Linked DNA regions of Oryctolagus cuniculus. The protein of the gene in region 2 purifies or fractionates together with the protein of the main gene of each other region. This does not show direct contact. Links are inferred from orthologs where the notes say so. Each region holds a gene or a part of one and is shown on either strand. Other genes may lie near its edges. The genes, in order: PPP6R1, ANKRD52, PPP6C and PPP6R2.

Region 1 (3,565 bases), on a different chromosome or scaffold from region 2:
TGCAGTGCCGGCATCCCATGTGGGCGCCGCTTCCAGCCCTGGCTGCTCCACTTCCTGTCTGCTCTCTGCTTGCTAATGGCCTGGGAGAAACAGTGGAAGATAACCCAGAGAATAATCTCATGGCTTCTGGCTTCGGTCTGCCTCAGCACTGCGGAGTAAACCAGCACATGGAAGAGCTCTCGCTGTCTGTCTCTCCCTCTATCTAACTCTTTCAAAACAAATAAATCTTAAAAAGAAGGAGGGGCCAACGCTGTGGCGTAGCGAGTAAAGCTGCCGCCTGCAGCGCCAGCATCCCATGCAGACACCAGCTAAGAGTTCTGGCTGCTACACTTCTGATCCGGCTCCCTGCTAATGTACCTGGGAAAGCTGTAGACGATGGCCTGAGTACTTGGGCCCCTGTACTCACATTGGGAACCCAAAAGAAGCTCCTGGCTCCAGCCTGGCCCAGCCTAGGCCATTGTGGCATTTGGGGAGTGAACCAGCAGATGGAAGACCTTGCTCTCTTTCTCTCGCCCTGTAACTGTAACCCTGCCTTTCAAGTAAATAAATCTTAAAAAAAAAAAAAAAAACAAAAAAAAAAAAACAAAAACAAACAAACAAAAAAAAACAAAAAACCAGGGGCCGGCGCTGTGGCGTAGTGGATAAAGCTGACAACTGCAGTGCCGGCATCCCATATGGGTGCCGGTTCAAGTCCCAGCGGCTCCACTTCCAATCCAGCTCTGCTGTGGCCTGGGAAAGCAGTAGAAGATGGCCCAAGTGCTTTGGCCCCTGAACCTGTGTAGGGGACCCAGAAGAAGCTCCTGGCTCCTGGGTTCAGACTGGCCCAGCTCCAGCTGTTGTGGCCATCTGGGGAGTTTAACCAGTGGATAGAAGACTTCTCTGTCTCTCTGACTGTAACTACCTTTCAAATAAATGAACAAAATCTTAACAAAAAAGAAGCTAAGATTTAAAAATAAAATAAGACCAAGCACATTTAAAAAAAGAAAAAGAAGCTAGCCCAAGCCCTTGGACCCTGCACCCACATGGGAGACCTGGAGGAAGCTACTGGCTTTGTTTCAGCCCAGCTCCAGCCATTGCAGCCATCTGGGTAGTGAACCAGCAGATGGAAGCCCTCTCTCTCTGTGCCTCTGCCTCTCTCTAACTCTTTCAAGTAAAATAAACAAATCTTTTAAAAAATTTCTGACAGAAAACATAGGAGTAAGACACTGTGTCGGATCTGGAATGACACACATCTGTGCACACATGTGTGAGGGCATTCACTGCAGCTCCACTCTCAGCGTGAAACCACAGAACCTGCCCGGCCACGTGCCGGCACAGCGCCTCCGGCTGCGGCTGCGAGTGAGCAAGACGCCAGCACGCCAGTTAGAAGGCTGGGCCTCCTGCACGGAGTGCGGAGAAAGAGCCAGACCCAGAAGTCAGGACAGCACTACCCCAGGGTGGAGGACGGGGCCAGCTGGGGTACAGCGGGTGCTGGGATGGTCCCACTGCAGGATCACGGTGGTAACAGAGGCGTCCATCCGGCTGGACACTCAGAACTCGCGCACTTGCCTGTACACGCTGCACTTCAGTAAGAAAGCTAAAATTCCCTAATTCCCCACCCAGAAGTCACAAGGCAGAGGCGGAACCGCAGGCTGTGAGCTGGTTCCCGCCAGCAAGCAGACGTGGCATGAACCCCCTACTCACAATGACTCCAGGGCCAGTCAGTCTGCACAGACAACCGACACCCTGACTGCAGAGGGAAGCAGGGAAAGAGGTGCTGCTCATGGGAAAACGTGAGAGCTGCCCTGGGGAGCCAGAGGCAGGGCGCGGCCGGACGGGCTGCAGCTGCAGGGCCCGCCTGCTTTCCCAGGGACCACTCCGCTCCTCCGGCCCCTTTCTCATTGGAACTGGTTTCTGTCACTCAAAATCAAAAGCACTTCTCACACACACACCAATGCATCTTCTCTTTCTCGTCCACTCCATCTTGGTCCAGGCTTGTCTGGAGGGTACTCACCGAACACCAGGGGGCTGGCCCCCACGGGGCCCCCGTGCCAGCTGGCTGCCCCGCCAGGCACCGTACTCTCCATCCGACTCCCCCGAGCCCTGGCCCTCCTCCTCCTCCTCCTCCTCCTCGTCATCGAACTGCTGGATGCGGTCTTTGTAGCAGATCTCAAGCAGGTTGGTGTTGGGCTACAGGTACAGGGTGAAGGAAGGGCTACATCACCTGCAGCCCCTGCACCCCTCCCCGCCCGGCCAGGGACAGGCGGCACTCACGTTCTCATCGTCAGCGTTGAGAGAGAAGGTGATGTTGGCAGTCTTGTCGAAAGGTGCGCTAGGAGAACAGGTGGAGACGCACTGTGACCAAAGTGCAGCAGCCAACACACAGCCAACCCCACTAGCTGGGAATCCCACTATTCCCTGCAATGCATTTGGAATCCCACACGTCATACCTGCAGCACCGGCCGTCTGCAGAGCTGCCTGATACACACTTAGCTACAGGTGTCCAGAGCATGGGGACAACAGGGATGGCCACACAAGAAGCCCCGGCTCGGGCTAGCCCTGCTGAGCTGGCATCCCATGCTGGCACCAGGCTGTGGGCATCCTCGGGCAGGGTGCTAACACGCCAAGCCAGAGTCGCAGTATCCACTTCCATGAACGGTCTGCACCATTCTACATACTTCCAGAAATTTCCCCAGGGAACAGGGTGCAGGCTGTGCCAGTTCAGTGTTTGTGGTCACTTTAGGCAATGTAAGTCACTGGAAACAACCAAACGTGTACCTGTTCTCCATCTATCTGTCCATTTACATTGGTAATTAAGTCTTGCCCAAGGGCAACTGGAACAGAAATCAAAGAAAAAGGCGGCCGGCGCCGCGGCTCACTAGGCTAATCCTCCGCCTAGTGGCGCCGGCACACCGGGTTCTAGTCCCGGTCGGGGCGCTGGATTCTGTTCCAGTTGCCCCTCTTCCAGGCCAGCTCTCTGCTGTGGCCAGGGAGTGCAGTGGAGGATGGCCCAGGTGCTTGGGCCCTGCACCCCATGGGAGACCAGGAAAAGCACCTGGCTCCTGGCTCCTGCCATCGGATCAGTGCGGTGTGGCGGCCATTGGAGGGTGAACCAACGGCAAAAGGAAGACCTTTCTCTCTGTCTCTCTCTCTCACTGTCCACTCTGCCTGTCAAAAAAAAAAAAAAAAAAAAAAAAAAAAGGCAAGTAAAACCCTTCCAAACTCGCTGACGCCAGGCTGTGTCTCGCTCTCCTGGCTCCGCCTTTTGTCTTTAGCGGGGATTTGCAATGCCGGTGCAGACTGGACAGGGGCTGCACTTCTGCAAAGCGAACAGCACGACCCCACAGGGCACTGACCCGTGCACCAGGTCCAGCAAAGTTGTGACCCGGGCCCGAGCTGAACTCGGAGCCCCCGGCCACAACCCACCCAGACCCCAGTGGCCATTCCTTCTTCACTGCCTGTCTCTACCACATGACAGCTTAGTACTTAGTTCACAAAAAGTTAATGGATGTTAAATTTTTTTGGTCAGACTGCTTATGGCAGGAAATCTGGGAAACAGGAAAAAACTCATATTCCTAACACTGAG
Region 2 (2,345 bases):
AGTGGGGCGGCAGGGGACTGATACCTTAGGAGCTGCCGAACCTCAGCGCCTGTTTTCCTGTCCATTGCAGCTCTTAGAAATGTCCTTTAACTGCCTGGAGGATGTGGAGAGCACCATTCCAGTCAGCCCTTTGCACTTAGCTGTGAGTCCCCAGTCTTTTCTTCTTGCCGTCCCTGCCCCACCTGCTCTCAGGCTCGCGTAAGGGTGACCCAATCACCTGATCCTTGCGTCTGCCTTCTTGTGGGGAAGGGCACAATGCAGGGGGAGAAGCCCGAGGGGCCTGGGGAGCTGTGGAGGACTAATGCCTAGAGTGTCTCCATGGGCTCCCAAGGCACAGTAGGGCCAGGTGTGTGTCTCGAGCTGCATCTGTTGGTTGCCTGCACACCTCTAGGCCTATAACGGTCACTGTGAAGCCCTGAAGACGCTGGCGGAGACGCTGGTGAACCTGGATGTAAGGGACCACAAAGGCCGGACCGCGCTCTTCCTGGCCACTGAGCGAGGCTCTACTGAGTGTGTGGAGGTACTCACGGCCCACGGTGCCTCCGCCCTCATCAAGGAGCGTAAGCGCAAGTGGACGCCCCTGCACGCTGCTGGTTAGTGCCCGCTTCCTGAACAGTTAGGCCTGGGAGAGGGCTGGGGCAGGGCGGATGTAACCATGTGTCCTGATTCATAGCTTCCTGTCTCCAGAGTGTCTCGCTGCCCCAGGTCTTCCCGTAACCTTGACCCTTGCAGCCTTGAGGCTCGAGCTGACCCTGCCCTGATGCAAGCTCCCTTTTGTCTCTAGCTGCCTCTGGCCACACTGACTCCCTGCACTTGCTGATTGACAGTGGGGAGCGAGCTGACATCACTGATGTCATGGATGCCTATGGACAGTGAGTGTGGGCGGGGGGTGGGATGCAGGTGTTCCCACCCGTGCTGGACCCTCACCCTTTCTCCTGCCCCCCTCTGTAGAACCCCACTGATGCTGGCCATCATGAATGGCCACGTGGACTGTGTACATCTGCTGCTAGAGAAAGGATCCACAGCCGATGCTGCTGACCTCCGGGGCCGCACTGCCCTCCACCGTGGGGTGAGAGCTCCTGGGCGGGTTGCTCACAGGCAGGCCTCGATGTGGCAGCACAGCGCCCCCCAGCAGCAGGGCATCGGACTGTGTAGGAGGCGGGCCAGGCTTTCACACAAGGGTGTGCCTGCTGCAGGATGAGTGGCCACCGTCCCCAGCTGACTGCCCTGCTTTGTAATCACACATGAGCACAGGCCCACCACTCAGACTACTGTGCCCTCAGACAGTGCGGCCATCACCCAGGTCCTTCTCACGACCACTGTCCCAGAGCTGCCTCCTCCTCCCCCAAGATTCCCACCCCCTCGGTCCTTTCTTGGCTCTGCATTCAGTGTCTCACTCCAGAGCTGCGGGGTGGACTCTGGCCATCCTGATGGCTGTTGACACAGAGACACAGGGAAGGAGATGCTGGTGCCTAACACCTGGGCTGCCTGTTGTGCATCAGGGATTGGAGCCCTGGAGGTGGTTCCTGCTCCTGGCCGGCAGAAAGGGAAGGGCTCCTCACCCCGACTCTCGCCCCTGTGTCCCCCCACAGGCAGTGACTGGCTGTGAGGACTGCCTGGCTGCCCTGCTGGACCACGATGCGTTTGTGCTCTGCCGAGACTTTAAGGGCCGCACGCCCATTCACCTGGCCTCAGCCTGTGGCCACACAGCAGTCCTGCGGACACTACTGCAGGCTGCCCTGTCCACAGACCCCCTGGATGCTGGGGTGGATTACAGCGGATACTCGCCCATGCACTGGGCCTCCTACACTGGTATGGCCTGGGCCTCCGGTAGGCTCAGAATGTGTGTGCGATGTAGAGAGGGTGGGCTGTGGGGAGCCTGCGCTGAAGCGGGCCTGGAAGTGGAGTGGAGCGCCCCTGCCTTTTCTCTGTTGTCACCCTTTCGTCCTCGTCCCCAGGACATGAAGATTGTCTGGAGTTGTTACTTGAACACAGCCCATTTTCGTACCTGGAAGGAAACCCCTTCACTCCTTTGCACTGTGCAGTGTAAGTCCCTGTGCACTGTGGGCTCCCCGCCTCCGGGGGCGCGGGGGCTGTGACCTGCGTCAGCATAGGAAGGCCACTTCCCTTGCCTTCCTGGTGACCCCTGCTCCCTCTTCCCTAGAATTAATAACCAGGACAGCACCACAGAGATGCTGCTGGGAGCTCTGGGTGCCAAGATTGTGAACAGCCGAGATGCCAAAGGACGGTGAGTGAGGGACGGTTCGCGGAGGAGCCCGGGCACCTGGGGTTCCTGTTTGCTCAGGCACAAGGGCATGCCCCTCTTCACTCTGCCCTGCCCACCC
Region 3 (4,362 bases), on a different chromosome or scaffold from region 2:
TTCAAATAAGTAAATAAATCTTGAAAAAAAAATTTTCTAAAAATTCAGACAACCTTCAAGTTATAGACTCTCTCCTCCAAAAGTACTTACATATTCAGCAAACTAGACTTTTAGTATATGTGCTGCCAAAGCGAGCACCAAACTAGACTTTTATCACTCCTTCTTTCACTTAGCAACTTATGAAATCTAAACCATCTATTGAGCTCTGTTGTCCACTCACTCTCAGGTACTTTATTCTTATTCCCTCAAAACAGGCAGATTCGACCTGGTACTAGTATTTTGACCATTTCAAATTCAGTTATAAAGAACTTGTTATCACACCTGAACATCCTATGTATTTATTATTTAATGTTGCACCTCTAACTTCTAATAAACTTAAAATACAAATAAAAATTTACTTTCCTTTCTACCCAAACAAGTCTCTTCCATCATGTTCATTAAGTGGCCCCAATTAATTCTTTCCATCCTCTAACAGAATATTTTCTACTGACTTGAAAGCATCAAAGGTGCTCCTAGAGTATTTTTTGGTCTGCCTATTTTTAGTTTGTACTTCATGCCAAGAAAAAGAAACATAAATTAAATTTCTTTAAATACTCTGGAGGTGCCGGCGCCGCGGCTCACTAGGTTAATCCTCCGCCTTGCGGCACCGGCACACCGGGTTCTAGTCCCAGTTGGGGTGCCGGATTCTGTCCCGGTTGCCCCCCTTCCAGGCCAGCTCTCTGCATGGCCCGGGAGTGCAGTGGAGGATGGCCCAAGTGCTTGGGCCCTGCACCCGCACGGGAGACCAGGAAAAGCACCTGGCTCCTGGCTTCGGATCAGCGTGATGCGCCGGCCACAGCGCACCAGCCGTGGCGGCCATTGGAGGGTTGGAGGGTGAACCAACGGCAAAAGGAAGACCTTTCTCTCTGTCTCTCTCTCTCACTGTCCACTCTGCCTGTCAAAAAAAAAAAAAGAAAGAAAAAAAAAATTTTCCAAAACAGAAGTCTCTAACAGAGAAAAATCCAGAATTTAAGTAGTTGCTCAGAAGATATAAAGTTTATTAAGAATCAGATGCAAATAAATACAGTCCAACTATGTTTCAACAGGAAATAAAATGGTTTAATAATTACTTCCTTCAGATAACGTTTAGCAGACTAAGAGATCTAAAGAAAATCCAACTGTTTTTCAAGTAATTTGTGTCCCACCTCAAGGTAATATCAAGACATATTTTCTGAAACTGAAATCACAAAGTACAAAACGGCTTTAAACATAACAAATGAAAACAGAATTCCACATCGATTCATTAACATGCAATGAATTCACCAAAAAGATGAACAATGCTACCAGCAGAGGCCTGGCCAGTTCTCCATGAACGGGTTCCCAATGCTGGCTACACAGCACGCGTCTGAAGCACTGGGAGCAGAAACACTACACTACCATTAATAAAAGCTGTCCTTAGTGAAGCTATCCTATTAAAAATGGGGGGGGGGGGGACGAGAGTGATTATCCCAGCATAAGCACATACAATTCATTTATATTCACATCAGGCCAGGGAACCTGAAAAATTTTGCATACTTGTTGAGTGAGGTTAAATATCAACTTCCGGTACCAAAGGATATAGCAAAAACACAAACACGGTCACATCTACTTTTGTAACTTTACAACCCACGGCTTAATGAAAGCATGAAAAGCACTCGAACCGTTTACAGCTTACCCACTTAGCACAGAGCCCATCAAAGTTAACAGAACAAATGAGACACCGGCACTAGCGGGTAACCGCTGCTGGAAACCCAAGCACTGGTTTCAACAAAGCACAGAAACGCTTTTCCAAAATTATCCGACCCCGACTCCTGCACCCACACACACAATCCCACCACTCGGGCAATAACAAGCAAAAAGTCACCTTCTTCCAAAAAGCCAAGAAGTGGGTTTCGGGGGCACGACTTCCAGGCGAGCAAGCTACTGGTATCTGCACACTTTACCCAACACCGCCACAGACCGGGATTCCCAGCTGAATTGGCACGAGAGCCAGCACGCCCAAGGAGCAATGTGGAGCGGCGTACGGAGGGACACGACGTCCTCTTACTCCGCTCGGGCCCCGCCGCCCCGCCGGACCTCAGCGACCCCGGGAGCCGGCCACCCGCGCTCCTGTCACCTCCGGGGAGCACCACCCGCTGGGGCTCGACTCCGGCTCCGGGGCTCGGCGCTGCGGCTGGGGAAGAGCGGGGTCTTCCCGGCGAAGCTGTAACGGCTCCGCGTCCAGGGGCAGCCCGCAGGCCAGGAGGGGCGACCCCGGAGGAGAGCCCGCGACAGCCCTCGGGATCCCCGGCGGGGGAAGCCAGGACAGCATCCGGGCACTCGGGCTCTCCCGTCTCCCCGCGTGACGCCGAGCCCGAGGGTCGCCTCCCACCGCGGAGGGCTCTCCACCGCGACAGGACTGGACACCCGGCAGGGGTCCCGCGGAGAGAGGAAGGGCGGACCGGCGGGCGCCCCACAGCCGGAAGGGGCGAGCCCCGCAAGCGGCACTCCCGCCCCGGCCGGGCTCACCTTCAGGTCGTTTTCTGGCAGGTACTTGCACAGCCGCGCTATCTCCACATACTTGTCCAGGTCTAGCGGCGCCATTTTAGGAGGAACAAGCCGCGGCGGCGGCGGCGGCGGCGGCGACGGTACTAGCGGCGGCAGCGGCGGAGGCCGAAGCCGGAACTCTCCCTACGTCACGTCCGGCCCGTGAGTGGCGTCTGCGCAGCGACGTTAAAGCTTGACCGGATTCTCCGCGCCGCCCCCGCACGTCCCGCGCCCTCGCTGACTGATCCCAGGCTGCAGCCCGAAGAGGTCCCCTCAATTCCGCCCGCGAAACCTGCTGGGACCCGTAGTTGCCTGCCGCGGGGGTTGCTGGGATTTGTAGTTTTCAGTTGGAGCCGGCTTCTCTTTTTCCTCCTCTTCCCGGTACTTCACCCCTGGAGACCCGGCAAGGCTTATCGGAGGCAAAACGGCGAAGTAGGTGACCTGAGCGTTCTGTGGCTTCTCGTTGCGACCCTTTTAGGCCCTCTCTCAACAGGACATCCTCAGTTAGAAATTGGGTAAGCCTGCCCGTAGTAGCCTGGTTGCGCCTTTCCAAGGTTTTGCAAAAACCTCGGTTAAACCTGTGGCGGAGAAGCCGAACTCCCAGTCGTCTGGTCTTGAGGATGAGAAAGGAAATGTCAAAGCGTTTCTTGTACCGGATGCCGCAAGGGTTCTTTTATTCTGTGTTTTCTTCCCCGCCCCACTCCCCTTCCCCCATTAATTCTCATGATTGCTGGGAAGGTAAGGCTTGGAGACCCTACGTAACTTGCCCCACATGTCACCGGAAACGAACGGTAGAGTCAACATTGGAAAACAGGTCAGCTGGCTTAAGCAGACCTCCGTGGGAGTCCCACGAGGGAGGGAGTTTAATGTTGTGTCCCCAACCGAGTAAGATCACCTGGCACTGAGTAGGCCTTCAGCATTCATTGAGGCATTCGTCATTCCGCAGCTGTTTACCAAACACCAGCCATGGGCCAGGTACAACTGCAGGCGCTTGGGATACGCAGTCAACACAGTAGACAAAGACGGGCGTCCACAGCCTGTGGTTGACAGCTAGGACGGGAAGACACCACGCTGCCATCAATGCATAGCGTTTGAGAAAGTGACGTGTGCTAGGGGAACAACGCGGCAGAGTAAGGACATGAACTTTGAAAGCCATCTAAGAAGTGGGGGAGTTGCCCATGCAGCTACCTGAGGGATATGATAGGGAGGAGCTGGTGCGGAGGCCCTGAGGTGGACGCCTATCTAAAGTCTTCGGGAAACAGCAAGATTTGTGTGGTTGGAGCAGAAGTGAGAGGAGTAGGAGAGATCAGAGAGAAAAGGAGAAGAATACTGTGTTTTTTTGTTTTGTTTTTTAAGGATTTATTTATTTGAAAGTCACAGTCACACACAGAAGGAGAGAGAGAGACAGTGAGAGAGGTCTTCCATCTGCTGGTTCACTCCCCTAATCAGCCACAATGGCTGGAGCTGCTCTGATCCAAAGCCAGGAGTCAGGAGCTTCTTCCTGGTCTCCCACACAGGTGCAGGGGCCTAAGCAGTTGGGCCATCTTCCACTGCCTTCCCATGCCACAGCAGAGAGCTGGATCAGAAGTGGAGCAGCCGGGACTTGAACCAGCACCCATCTGGGATGCCAGCACTGCAGGCGGTGGCTTTACCCACCATGCCACAGCGCCAGCCCCTGCTTTTTTTTCTTTTAAATGAAATGGACTGCTATTGCAGGGTTTTTAGCACAGGAGTAAAATGATGTAGCTTGTTGTAGAAGGATCACTCTAGCACTCTGGGGACTCCTGGAGGGCGATGGTTGCACTGAGAGATCAGTTG
Region 4 (3,565 bases), about 64 Mb from region 2:
TCAAACAAACTTCTCTGAGATATTTATGTGAACATTTTTTTTCCAATTACAGAAGTAATACATGGCCATTATAGAAAAAAATTTAGAGCTGTGGTACAGTAGGTAAAGCTACCACCCATGACACCGGCAGCCCATATAGATGCCGATTCTTGTCCTGGCTGCTCCCCTTCCAATTCAGCTCCCCGTTAATGGCCTGGAAAAAGCAGTGGAAAATGGCCCAAGTACTCCCACCAAGTACTCCCTCTCCCTCTCCCTCTCCCTGTCCCTGTCCCTGTCCCTCTCCCTCTGTAAATCTGACTTTCAAATAAATAAACAAATCTTTTTAAAAATTAAATATGGAAAAGGATTAAAAAGTAAAGAGAAACAGCTGGTTTCTCTCTGTTCTAATTTTTAAGCTTTCCCTTCTGTCACAAGCAGGGTTGGGCTCAGCACCCAGACGTGGCCCAGACCTCTTGCTTTTATGAAGAGTTAAAAAAAAATCAGTAGAAACCATGATTAGAATGTCTTAATTCTACTTTTAGGTAAGACACTAATAAATGTGTACTAGATAATACCAAAGAGGAACAGTTGGTACTTTAGCCACCAAGATTAAGTCAATTTCTTGCCACTTTCCTATTGTCTTTTTTTCTTTATAAAAATGCACAGGCTATTGGTCCCAGCACACAGAAACAAGGGACAGCGGTCACCCTGAGAGAGCAAGGCCATTGCCACAGCATGTAATGGGACAGGGCAGACAGAAACATTGTATACGCAGCATGGCCTCCCAACTGCACAGCAGCATCCGCAGACGGCGCGCACAGGCCCAGGGATGCTGGTGCCGGTCCTGCTTGCGCCCACTACTGGAGCACACTCCACAGGTCTCCCAACCACACCTCCTGTCTGAAACGTCAAACAACTCTCATTTTCCCTTGGGACTCACCCAGCCCGCCTGGTTTCCAACAAGGTGAGCAACACCTGGGTCCCACTGACGAGGCAGCTCTCGGTGTGGTCCCCATCAAACATGTTCTTCAGAAGCTGCTCCACGCAGTCCTGCCTGCGGACCCACACGAGGTCACTGCCACGCAGAGGAGGTGAGGACAGCCCCTTCCCCTCGCGCGGAGGACCCGGCTACACCCTGGATCTGAGGGCTCTCACTCCAGCCTACCTGGGTTCAAGGCAGGTGCCCAGGTTCACAGTTCATCCCTTCCCTGTTGGCCCCACCTCTGGATCTGCCAGGAGACCCCTCCCCCAAGAAAAAGGCCCATCAAATTAACTAGGCTCCGAATCTGGGGAGTGTTTCACAGCCAGCCCAGCAGAGTGCCATCAGAGCAGGGTCTCAGAGAGAGGCCCACCACACCACAGCCCACCAGCACTCACGACTCCAGCGCTGTGAGGAGGGGGTCTGGCTCCGTAGCCTCTTGCAGCTGACTGCCCTGGTCTCTGCCCAGCCTAATGATGTCACAGAGAGTCTGAGACGCATTCGACTGCCTCTGGAAGACAAGGGAGACACAGCCCTCAGTGCCCGGGAGAGACGACAGCAGCGCCAGCCCTGCTGCTGCCCCTGACGGAGCTGCCTCGTCGAGAGCAGCTCCACAAAGGCCCAGACCCCGGTCTGTGTCAGAGAAGCCGCGTCCATCTTTCCCGTCTCCAACGTGGAGACCCGGCTAAGTTTTCAGCTGTTCTGAGCCATCCCCAGGAATTCTGATGCAGTGCAACACAGATCTGCTCTCCACCTCTGACCCACGCTCGGAGAGACACTGAACATGCAGCCTTGTCACGATTCTGCGTTTTAAGCGTGACAAGGAGCCACTATCAGCGAAAGCAGGGAAGCTGCTGCAGAGGAAGGGGAGCACCAAACCTTCCAGCCCCTCCCACCCTGCAGCTGTGCAATCCGAGTCAAATATGCACTTGCTGGCAATGGAGGCGTGTTCCGTGGGGGAGGTGGGCATGGCTGACAGGATAACCCCCTTCCTGGGCACTGGTCTGAGGAGGAGACACATGGTCGACTGCTTTAGGAAAAAACGAAAGCAAGTTGGTTGGTTCTGTGGTGTGGCCTTGAGCCCACCTTTGAGACAAGGGACGGACCATTACACTCACACCTGCAAGTGGTCTCCACCCTGGAACAGGGCAGCCGCCTTGCTTCCCACAGGTGCCAACAAGGCCCTACCCAGCTGTCTGGCCAGGCCCCGAGCACTGACACAGAACAAAGCAGAGTGGCCAGGCAGCTGTGACAGCTTCAGACATGAGTCAGTCAGCACCAACTGTTTTCTTTTCTTTTCTTTCTTTTTTTTTTTCTTTTCTTTCTTTTCTTTCTTTCTTTCTTTTTTTTTTTTTTTTTTTTTTTTGACAGGCAGAGTGGACAGTGAGAGAGACAGAGAGAAAGATCTTCCTTTTGCCATTGGTTCACCCTCCAATGGCCGCCGCCGCACTGCGGTGATCCGATGGCAGGAGCCAGGTACTTATCCTGGTCTCCCATGGGGTGCAGGGCCCAAGTACTTGGGCCATCCTCCACTGCACTCCCTGGCCACAGCAGAGAGCTGGCCTGGAAGAGGGGCAACCGGGACAGAATCCGGCGCCCCAACCGGGACTAGAACCCGGTGTGCCGGCACCGCAAGGCAGAGGATTAGCCTAGTGAGCCGTGGTGCCGGCCCAGCACCAACTGTTTTCAAACTTCCTGAGGACTGTGCATGTGCGTGTGTCTATGTGTAAATATCTGTAACACAAAAAAGAAGGTCTATCAGGATTTGCAGGGAGAGGGCAGCTGAGACAGGAGGCCCCGTGTCACCTTGCATGCTTCCAGATCTATGGTGAACAGTTTCTGGGAGGCCGCCAATGAGCCCCTCCCCAGTTCCCCGCACTTCAGAATCCATGCCCTTGTCACCCTGTCTCCCTGCGTGCGGGCCACACGTACTCTCGTGCCTAAGGAGGGAGGGCACTGCTGAGATGAGTCTGCATGGCTTCCTCCTGCTCACGGGAGGAAGCCAGCGGCCACACAGGAGCCCTGTGGACAGGCACATGTGGCTCAGCGCTCAGAGCTGAGGGTGGCTTTGGCCAGCAGTCCCAGGGAGCAGAGTGCTGCAAAGCCTCTGTGTCCACAGAAGCAAGCCCTCCCAGGCAAATCCTGCAGCTAATTCCGGGATAATCTGCTAATCAACTACAGATAATTATATGAATAGATAACCAACAGAACTATTTTTATAATACAGACATTATTTTTAGTTGAAAAAACCCCAAGAACCTATAGGTTGGCACTTGAATAGAGGAAGAAAAGTAAACAGTAGGGGCTTCATGCGGGAAAGAAGGTGAGATGTGAGAGACTCGGACAAAGCTCCTGGCTCCTGGCTTTGGCCTGGCCCAGCCCTGGCTATTGTGGCCATTTGGGGAGTGCCCCAATGGACAGAAGATCTCCCTCTGCCTTTCATGTAAGTAAGTAAACATACACATACGTAAATAATATAACAAAGCAGGTGGGCTCTGTGAGCACCACACTCACATCCTCATCCTGACTCGGATGGATCAACTCCACAAGTCGCTGGATGATCTTCTCTTCATTCAGCCACTAAAAGGGACAAAACGTGTGTTAACA

Evidence for each region.
Region 1: the proteins of ANKRD52 (region 2) and PPP6R1 purify together in Homo sapiens (co-immunoprecipitation; 3 studies listed by BioGRID and IntAct, with this or other methods). This does not show direct contact. The link is inferred for Oryctolagus cuniculus from reciprocal best matches to the Homo sapiens genes ANKRD52 and PPP6R1.
Region 3: the proteins of ANKRD52 (region 2) and PPP6C purify together in Homo sapiens (affinity purification with mass spectrometry; 6 studies listed by BioGRID and IntAct, with this or other methods). This does not show direct contact. The link is inferred for Oryctolagus cuniculus from reciprocal best matches to the Homo sapiens genes ANKRD52 and PPP6C.
Region 4: the proteins of ANKRD52 (region 2) and PPP6R2 purify together in Homo sapiens (affinity purification with mass spectrometry; 3 studies listed by BioGRID and IntAct, counting the BioPlex papers as one, with this or other methods). This does not show direct contact. The link is inferred for Oryctolagus cuniculus from reciprocal best matches to the Homo sapiens genes ANKRD52 and PPP6R2.

Annotation. Positions count from the first base shown.
Region 1 is NC_091449.1:3,650,476-3,654,040, reverse strand, and holds part of PPP6R1 (serine/threonine-protein phosphatase 6 regulatory subunit 1), read right to left. Parts: intron 2,312-3,565; coding exon 2,254-2,311; intron 2,170-2,253; coding exon 1,994-2,169; intron 1-1,993. UniProt on the Homo sapiens protein: Regulatory subunit of protein phosphatase 6 (PP6). May function as a scaffolding PP6 subunit. Involved in the PP6-mediated dephosphorylation of NFKBIE opposing its degradation in response to TNF-alpha.
Region 2 is NC_091442.1:59,055,439-59,057,783, reverse strand, and holds part of ANKRD52 (serine/threonine-protein phosphatase 6 regulatory ankyrin repeat subunit C), read left to right. Parts: intron 1-70; coding exon 71-142; intron 143-391; coding exon 392-593; intron 594-784; coding exon 785-872; intron 873-951; coding exon 952-1,069; intron 1,070-1,592; coding exon 1,593-1,812; intron 1,813-1,958; coding exon 1,959-2,046; intron 2,047-2,164; coding exon 2,165-2,248; intron 2,249-2,345. UniProt on the Homo sapiens protein: Putative regulatory subunit of protein phosphatase 6 (PP6) that may be involved in the recognition of phosphoprotein substrates.
Region 3 is NC_091432.1:229,001,625-229,005,986, forward strand, and holds the start of PPP6C (serine/threonine-protein phosphatase 6 catalytic subunit), read right to left. Parts: upstream 2,820-4,362; 5' UTR 2,602-2,819; coding exon 2,527-2,601; intron 2,456-2,526; exon of another isoform or gene 1,883-2,455; intron 1-1,882.
Region 4 is NC_091442.1:123,354,501-123,358,065, reverse strand, and holds part of PPP6R2 (serine/threonine-protein phosphatase 6 regulatory subunit 2), read right to left. Parts: intron 3,539-3,565; coding exon 3,473-3,538; intron 1,470-3,472; coding exon 1,357-1,469; intron 1,034-1,356; coding exon 920-1,033; intron 1-919. UniProt on the Homo sapiens protein: Regulatory subunit of protein phosphatase 6 (PP6). May function as a scaffolding PP6 subunit. Involved in the PP6-mediated dephosphorylation of NFKBIE opposing its degradation in response to TNF-alpha.